Linked DNA regions of Tribolium castaneum. The protein of the gene in region 2 purifies or fractionates together with the protein of the main gene of each other region. This does not show direct contact. Links are inferred from orthologs where the notes say so. Each region holds a gene or a part of one and is shown on either strand. Other genes may lie near its edges. The genes, in order: ago and serine/threonine/tyrosine-interacting protein.

The links.
Region 1: the proteins of serine/threonine/tyrosine-interacting protein (region 2) and ago purify together in Homo sapiens (affinity purification with western blotting; 4 studies listed by BioGRID and IntAct, with this or other methods). This does not show direct contact. The link is inferred for Tribolium castaneum from reciprocal best matches to the Homo sapiens genes STYX and FBXW7.

What each region holds. Positions count from the first base shown.
Region 1 is NC_087394.1:36,179,786-36,184,335, reverse strand, and holds the start of ago (archipelago), read left to right. Parts: upstream 1-1,437; 5' UTR 1,438-1,698; intron 1,699-1,832; 5' UTR 1,833-1,842; coding exon 1,843-2,202; intron 2,203-2,248; coding exon 2,249-2,359; intron 2,360-4,187; coding exon 4,188-4,314; intron 4,315-4,550. Other genes in the region: uncharacterized protein LOC655874, read right to left, coding at 1-145, 344-468, 514-725, 773-927, 972-1,095. UniProt on the Homo sapiens protein: Substrate recognition component of a SCF (SKP1-CUL1-F-box protein) E3 ubiquitin-protein ligase complex which mediates the ubiquitination and subsequent proteasomal degradation of target proteins.
Region 2 is NC_087402.1:6,747,823-6,751,494, forward strand, and holds serine/threonine/tyrosine-interacting protein, read right to left. Parts: upstream 2,280-3,672; 5' UTR 2,139-2,279; coding exon 2,094-2,138; intron 1,880-2,093; coding exon 1,470-1,879; intron 1,417-1,469; coding exon 1,119-1,416; 3' UTR 592-1,118; downstream 1-591. Other genes in the region: Unc-76 (fasciculation and elongation protein zeta-2), read right to left, coding at 2,963-2,979, 3,031-3,096, 3,147-3,222, 3,274-3,521, 3,569-3,672. UniProt on the Homo sapiens protein: Catalytically inactive phosphatase. Acts as a nuclear anchor for MAPK1/MAPK3 (ERK1/ERK2). Modulates cell-fate decisions and cell migration by spatiotemporal regulation of MAPK1/MAPK3 (ERK1/ERK2).

The DNA.
Region 1 (4,550 bases), on a different chromosome or scaffold from region 2:
CAACTAGCAACTGAAATAAAGTCTTTCGGTTCGCGTTTATCCAGAAGGTAAATGTCGCCGCCTTCTGTGCCCACAACAACGTAATTCGTGTTGTGTTGGTTGCATGCAACGCTGGTTAGAGAGCAAAACTCGTTGTTGTACAAAACTGAAAAATAAATATTTTTCGATAAAAATTTAGCTCAAAAACATCAGTATTAAAAGCTACATCCATTACAAAAAAAAACAATTTCCTATTGTAGCTAACTTTGGACACTTGTATACTTGAAAATAATGTTTACATCTTCACTTTGCTCCCGTGAAATATACATGATTTTTTCGCCTCACTGGACGAAAAAATAATTACCTGAGGCAGGGCACGGATTACGGTCGTCCCAAATACAGCACTTCCGGTCCATTGAAGCTGTGACAAAGACGTTTGGTTCCGACTTAAGTGTATCAACATAGTTTACAAGTTCCGTGTGATAATCGCTGGAAATAAAACTTAGATAAGGGAAAATTGTTGATAAAACTTACGGAAAGTGATTTAGTGGTTTACGGATAGTGCTATTAATGTCCCAAATGGTCACCGCTTTATTCGAGCAGGTGAGTATCCGTGTGCTGTTCTTCCAAACTGCGATTTTCGGAATGCGATCTATTTCCCTATAATAACCTGCCGATTGTATGGTTTGGTTTTCACGTGATATTGTGAGAATATTTAAAAGACCCGTATCTTCAGCTAACGCAAACTATTTTCATATTATTTGTTGTGTGTACACATTTAGCTGAAACTTACAGTACTGTCGTTTAAAAATTTCCCGTCTGAAACCGTGGACCCAATCAAGCTTCTGTTGTGTTTCAGAAGCAACAAATTCTCCTCATTTGAGAAAAATAGCAAAGTGCCTTCCCAAAGAGTCCCGTTTAAGTTCGAACACCCCAGAACTGACTCGTCTAAAAGACAATTAATCGCCAAAATTGAAAAAAACCCACCTTACCTTTTTCATTAAATTCTAGGAAAAGTAAGTGTTTGTAAACGACCGGTGTTGTCGAAAGTTCGACTTTCCGTTGCAGCGATTTATTCGGTGGATAAACCACCGTATTTAATTCGTTTTCAATCATTTTAACACAAATTCAAAAAAGAGTTCGAGGTTAAGTTTTGGTGCAAAAAAGCCACTAAAATCACATGTGCGCCGTTAAATTCCCCCAGCTTGTCACCTTGCTACTCCTGTAACTAAAGTCACGAAATCGTAGCGTAAATTCTCGAAATACAATGCAATGGTGTTGGGGAAAAACACAAAACGGATTTTCCTGCAATTGGTGAGTGTTTTCCAAAAGTTTGGGGTCCTGGATGTTTTTTTGGGCGAATGGTTTGTGGAGTCAGGGTGTTTGTGAAACGGGGCGGCGCCTTAGCCACGCGATTTTGCTGATATTTCTTATTCTTCATTTACACAAGTTCGTCCAGATATTTGTAATGGTGCCAATAAATCCTAGTATTTTGAGAATGGCCGTCAGTGTAGTTTTTTGAAAAGGTATTTTACCCAGCGAGATGCACAAGAAAACTCGCTTTAGTGTCTCGGAGTGATAGGAAGTAGCAAACAGTGGTCCTTGATGCATAGTTTTTGGAAGCATTTCGTTAATTTTCCTTCTTCTCTTGCAATTATCTGGTAGTTAGAGTAGTTTCGTTTCATGCCTTCGAATAATGATAGAAAATTACATCAGTAGGTATGTCAGATGCAATTATTCTAACCATTTTTCCCCCATTGCACTCATCTTGTAATTAAGTAGGATAACGTGTTTCACTCGCGGAGATAATTTTATCGCAAAACTTTACTTAAGACGTTTTTTGTTTTTTCTAGACTGTAGATAATGGCAGAATCATGTCCTTCAGGCAGAAGTAATTTCAACCCCTTATCTAGTATTAATCGAGATTCAGAACTTCCAAAACAAGACTGCACCAGCCCTAGCCCTACTGAAACCGTTTGTCTAGAGTCGTTGTGTACCACTGATAATGCACCAGGTACATCCCAGAATCACTTAGCTCCATTGAGTGAAAAACTAGATGAGATATTTAGAATTAGTCAATCGGGCGAGGAGACTGAAAAAACTAGCTTTCTCAATAAGCTAGGTCTGGAAGAATGTGATGAAGAAGACAGTTTTGAGAAGGAAGAAAACTGGGAGGATTGTACTGAAGGAGACCTCTCTGAAGAAAATCAAGAGCTAGAAGAGGTAACTCCATACAGTGTGTTAACTTTTTACTAAATTATTTTTACAGGACGAAGATAGCAGTGAAGTTTTTTCAGGTTCACCTCCAGGTCCTCATCAAACAACACCAAGGAGTTCGTACGCGAAGAGAAGTGGGTCGTACGCCACTGACAGATACTGGGTAAGCAGAAATTATGTTTGTTGTTTCAAGCGAATGTGCAATAATATTATTTTAAAAATAAACCCATTGACTGTTTCCATCACTGGATAATGCATTTTCTGCAAATGGTTAGCACAAGGCAAACAAAAAATTACAGGCAGAGATAATTTATATTAATTTTGCTTTTTTCTTATTCACTGATAACTAAAATATATGTCACATTTGTCTAACACGTGTAGTTTTCTTAATATATTCACTAAAAGTTTTAAAAATTTGTTTCTGGTGGCATTCATTGTTTCTGTGATCAACTATTGTTAAACCTTGTAATTATTTTAAAATATCTTCAAGTGAATGTAGATTAAGTCCAAACAACTTTTGTTTTGTTTGTGGTAAAATTGTCTATAAAATCTGGGAGACTTAAACGATCAAATGGTAAATATTTTCATCAAATCTTATGAAGAGAGTTATTAAGGTTTTTGGGATAAAAATATGTTATTCGTTTTCTACTAGTCCACATTGAGATAAACACCCTGATAGTACAAGAGAAGAAGCAATCTGTAACATTTTAGATGTTGCGAAAATTGTCAAATACTGATACTTTATAATGAGTATTTAAACTTAATTTGTTTTCGACTTCAGCATCAGATTTAGTGGTAATTATTCTACTGACATTGGTAAAAATCGTGGTAAACTAGTGTAATTATCTGCAATTTTTTGTAAACAAATCAGTGACACATTTTATTACGCCACTGCTCAGGTGGTACTTAATCTTTGCAATACCTGTTGTATTAAATAATTTCTCAATACTAGTTTTTGTTTAATTTTTTTTAACAAAATGTGACTAATAATAAATAATATTACTCTCATAAGTAAAGTTGTGACCATTTTTGGTTGTTGTTTTGACAATTTAAAAAGAAAATAATTAAAAAATACGAGTTGGTCTTGACTATTTGGTCGAAAATGTAATTTAAAGGAATTTGGTTTTAATGAACGCTTACCTTATCTATGTATAATACGAGTTTAAAAACAATCGTCACAGTTTTAATTATGTATTTAATCTTTATATAACTTTTAGATAAAATAACAAAACGAATAATTAAGGGGCATTGGGGAAAAATCGATAAGTAATACGCGAATAAGTCACGTTTACGTAGTAGTGCATTAAAGTTATTGCTCGTTTTTTAAACATTCCCATGGTCAATGAAGGTCTTTAACCTGTTTGGGACTTTGCTGTTTTTAACTATTTAGTTTACTTGTTGTTTTTGTATTGGTAAACACGAGTTGGGCGATAACGTAAATTAAAGATAGACATAAAAGGTAATAATTTTGATCCTTTTTGAAATTATCGTTGTATAATACAAACTAACAATTTTCATAGTTATTTATTATGCCTGTAGATTTTTTTTTAAATTGTTGAAAAAATGTTTGTTACCTTTGACAACCTCTAATTCTGTGTTTAGTAAACAATGTTACTCAAATATCTATGATAATAAAGCAATTTCCACATAATCACATGCATTAGAATACAGTGTAGTAATAATTAACTGCATGTCATAAAAAACTTATCAGGTTAATTTTGCTTTTTAACGCTAGTTTTTCCGGTTTAAGATGTTACATTATTTTCACCTTAATGGTGTTTATGTATTAATCGCAAATGTAAAGAGCTTAACAAAAATAAAACAGTCGTACTTCTTTTTTTTTAATGATGAAACTTGTAAGTGTTGAGTCGATAACATAATACGTTGATCGACATATGATTTTAGCCTAATCTTCTCTCTGATATTTTTTGAAACGAATATTTTGTGCTGTTTTGTTAGCAGTTGTAATGTGTTTTGTTCGGTTTTTTTAGAGAAAACGGAAGTTGGACGTGCAGAATGGGTTTCCGTGCAAGAAGTTGCTACCAGAAAAGAAATCTGACGTTACTTCGATGTCATCTGAGCCCTCTGCTCGTGCGCCGACGGCGCCCGAAACCAACGGTGAGAAAATACAAGCGATAATTAACTTTTTTCGACTTCGAAATGAAATATCTCCAAACTTAATACAAATTTTTCCATTTTTTTAAATGAAAACTAAATACTATGTTATTGAAAATTTTACATTTTAAAATATTTATTGCTTTATATTACCAAAGACAAATTATTTAGACTGTTTTGAAAAGAAACTTTTCAACTTCTAATATAGTTAGAGCCTTAAGGTTTTGTATACAATCTAA
Region 2 (3,672 bases):
ATTTTACTTTCGTTGGTTTTTTGTACCTTCGAATACGAAGACTGCGGTTTGTAGATCAACTAAACACATCATTAACGAAACTAGAATTTTTTAGGTTCAAAACCAGACTCACTTTTATCAGTTCGGGTTTCAGACTGTGAAGAAGACCAAATATGCACATTGCAGAAAGGAAAAAATGCATCAATTGAAATTACTTTCACAAGTTGGTAACCAAAATATAACTTAGAATATTTACGAATTTTTTTCAGATGCTGAATCAAACACAGTAAGTGCAAAAGTGTACGGCGTCTTAGCAGGTGTTGTCGAAACTGAGTTCCCCTTTCCGTACCCCAACGCTTGCCTAAATTCTGGACTAACTTGTCCTATCGCAGCCGATGAAACATACACTTATCAGACCACTCTGTTCGTGTACCCAACTTATCCAAATGTATGTTTAAAAATTGTATAGATTGTTAATTGTTTAATTAGATTCCAGTCCATGTCAAGTGGGAGTTGGTGGATGACAACGGTAGTGACATAATTTGTGTATTAATACCAGCAAAAATTAAGTAATGCAGTAATGATGACTTTGTCTGGTTATTAAATAAAAAATTGTAACACTTAACATATTATTTATTTCAGGAACGAAACAAATGTTACAAAAGTATAAAAATAGGCTCTTTAGACTAATTTATCAATTTACAGTTTCATAGAAATAGGCACTATTTTTATGTACATAGCTGGAAAAATACTAATACAGTATAAATATCAGTTTCATGAGGAATCTCTACAGACACTCATTGGATTATGCAGGTTATAAAACTAGTTTAATTGTGCTCCACACAATTCCTCCAACGCTAATTCATTAAATTAACCAATTGAGTCATTCAATACAAAATTAAACAACGCAACGTTTGACTAGTTCTGAGTATTGGTGGAGAAATTTCACTTGAAACTTGAAATCTCCCTTTGTAAGTAATCAAGACGGAATTTATCAAATAAACGCAATGGCACTCTGAAGAAAAATTTCCAAAGGATAAACGAACAACAAAAATAAAAACTTCAACATATTAAACTTACGGAACTTAAGTAAAAACAACATAACAAAAATTCTAACAGAAGCAAGAGATTCAACAGTTTTAACTTTTCTTCATCATCCACAGTTTATACAAGTGGTTGGAAAAGTCCGGTTGGCAGTTAATGACGTGGTTATTGTTATCGGAAATCGGACTTGGAGGCGGTTGGATGAGATCATAGTCTATACTTTCGCAAAGCTGCTCGGACTTACGTTTCTGGCGTTTGTTATCGTTCGAAGTCTCGCCCTTTTCCAGAGTTTGTCGCGCTTTATAAATCGGCTCATACTCAATCAATTGTGCTAAAAAACCCTCGTTCGGATGAATGCACCCTCGTCGTTGTTTCACACACTCAATAGCCTCCCTTTAAACACAACAACGCAAATAAATCAGAATCAACTCGACCAGTATCCATACTTGCTACTCAATCCATACTTTTCCATAATGTACGCTAGGACTAAAGTGGCGCTGCGGGAAATGCCGTTGTTGCCGTGCACCAACACCTTGCCGTTCCGCTGAAACGCCTCGTCAATGAATTGCCTCACAGTGGGAAAGAACCGGATGATGTTTTCGGTGGCTGTGTCCGCTATGTTTAGAGTTAAATACGTTATAGAGAGATCATTGATTTGGGGCTTGATGTACTGGGCTTCTATGTCCTGTCGGACGCAAATTATGTGCGAAATGCCGTGGTCTCGGAGTGTCTTTAGGCAGTGCTTTTGAGCAGAGGAGTACGGACCCAGGAACAGCCCCGGGACGATTTCTTGCATATTTCTCCTCATGGTGTACGTCCATTCGCTACATTGCAGCGTGGGCATCTCGTGCATCGGCTACCAAACACAAGTACTTCATATTTTTAGCTCAATAAGTGGCAAATGACAAGTGGGGGTTAGGTTTTATCTCTGGGCGCCAAATGGAAAAGAACCGAAATTACAACTACCCATGCATTAAATGTGTTGTTTTGCCCGAATTTTAACAATTTACGGTAACAAGAGTTGGATATTTGGGAGGGAAAGACGGAATTTAGCGAAAAAATGAACTAACCTCATCTTGTTGAAATTTCACTGAACTGGAGTTAACGTCCAACATGGTGTGAATTCCACACGATATTTAGACAACACTTGGTTAATACTTTATCACAATTATGGCATATTAATCCTTCGTTAAATATTAATTTAGAAATTAATTAATTTCTATGTGCAGTAATGGAGTAGCATCTTCTGCTCACTTCGGACAAAGTCGGTTGTTTTCGGTGGGGCGCGCATGCGCGCCTTTAATCTATAGACTTGGCGCCAGAAATAAAAAACAGTTTTCTACAATAAAGGTTTATTCAGACCAAAACATTGAAATCGAAATAAAAAAATACAGCCAGATTGTATCAATTTGCAAGACTCTGCCATAAAGCACTCGTTACCTTTACGACCTACAAAAATATGCAAGAAACGTGATTTTGAATTGCAAAGGTTTATTTGATTGAGATCTACAGTAATATTATCAACGGCTGGCTCTGAAACAGGTAACATTTAAGACATTAAATGTTAAATTCACCTAATTTAACCTTATATTACTTTCATCAGCGAAAACGCAAGTCGGGCAAGAATAAAACTCGTAGCTAATATCACTTTGTACAAAAATATCAGTAAAATTAAAACGAGTGCATATTGCACGAACTGTAGCAAAGATGTGCATAATACTTATTAATAGTTCACATTTAATTGTTACTTTACAATTACATAATTAGACTAGAATGTTCAAGCAAAATATATACACATCACTTAAAAAAATATACAGAGGAACAATATTAACAACCAGGAAATAAATTAATATTGCAACTGAAATCTGTGCTATGTCAAGCCTAGACTAAATATATTTAAGCTAGATTTTGGGTTCTCATCTGTGCTTCCTTGACTACTTTACGTCGGACATATAACTGGAACAATAAAAACGGCTTAAAATAGGAACACTCGTTTATTGCCCTCACCTTTTAGGATATAGTCCGTTAATAAAGTGGGAACTGTGGGGCTGTCTTCATTTATGGCTTTCAAAACTACAACAAACAAATTAATCGAAACGAAATTGCTTAATCGAATTAGTCACTTTTAATCAGGACTTGTAACGTTTGATTATCCGGTGGTCCGCTATCTAAATGGTACGGAATGACAGTGGTTAAATACTGCAAAAGAAAGCAACAATAACACTAATTTGGTCAAATCCCAGTTCGTACTTTCGGGTCCAGTCCGCTGGGAGTCTTGGACGCATTTTTTAAACTCCGCTTCTTCTCAACATGGTATTGTCTACGTTTATTTTGAACGGCAAGAAGTAGGGAAATAAAAGTGTTCTTCAGCTCCTTCTCGTACTCCAACTCGTCTCTGAGGGCCAACTCCGAGATAAGCGTTTCGGAAAATTCCCTAATTAAAACCTCTAGTTCCAGAAATAATTCATTTAACTGCGACAGACTCAAGTCGCGTAATTCTACAACAGGGAAATGAGACCAAGTTTGGGAAAAATGTACCACGCACTGTCTTCATACAACGGCGAGCTTAAAACCTCCTTCGCCTTTTCCAGCGTCTCATTCGTCTCAATTATGGAGTCCCTGGATCCCGGAGAGCCGTCTAGCGAACAC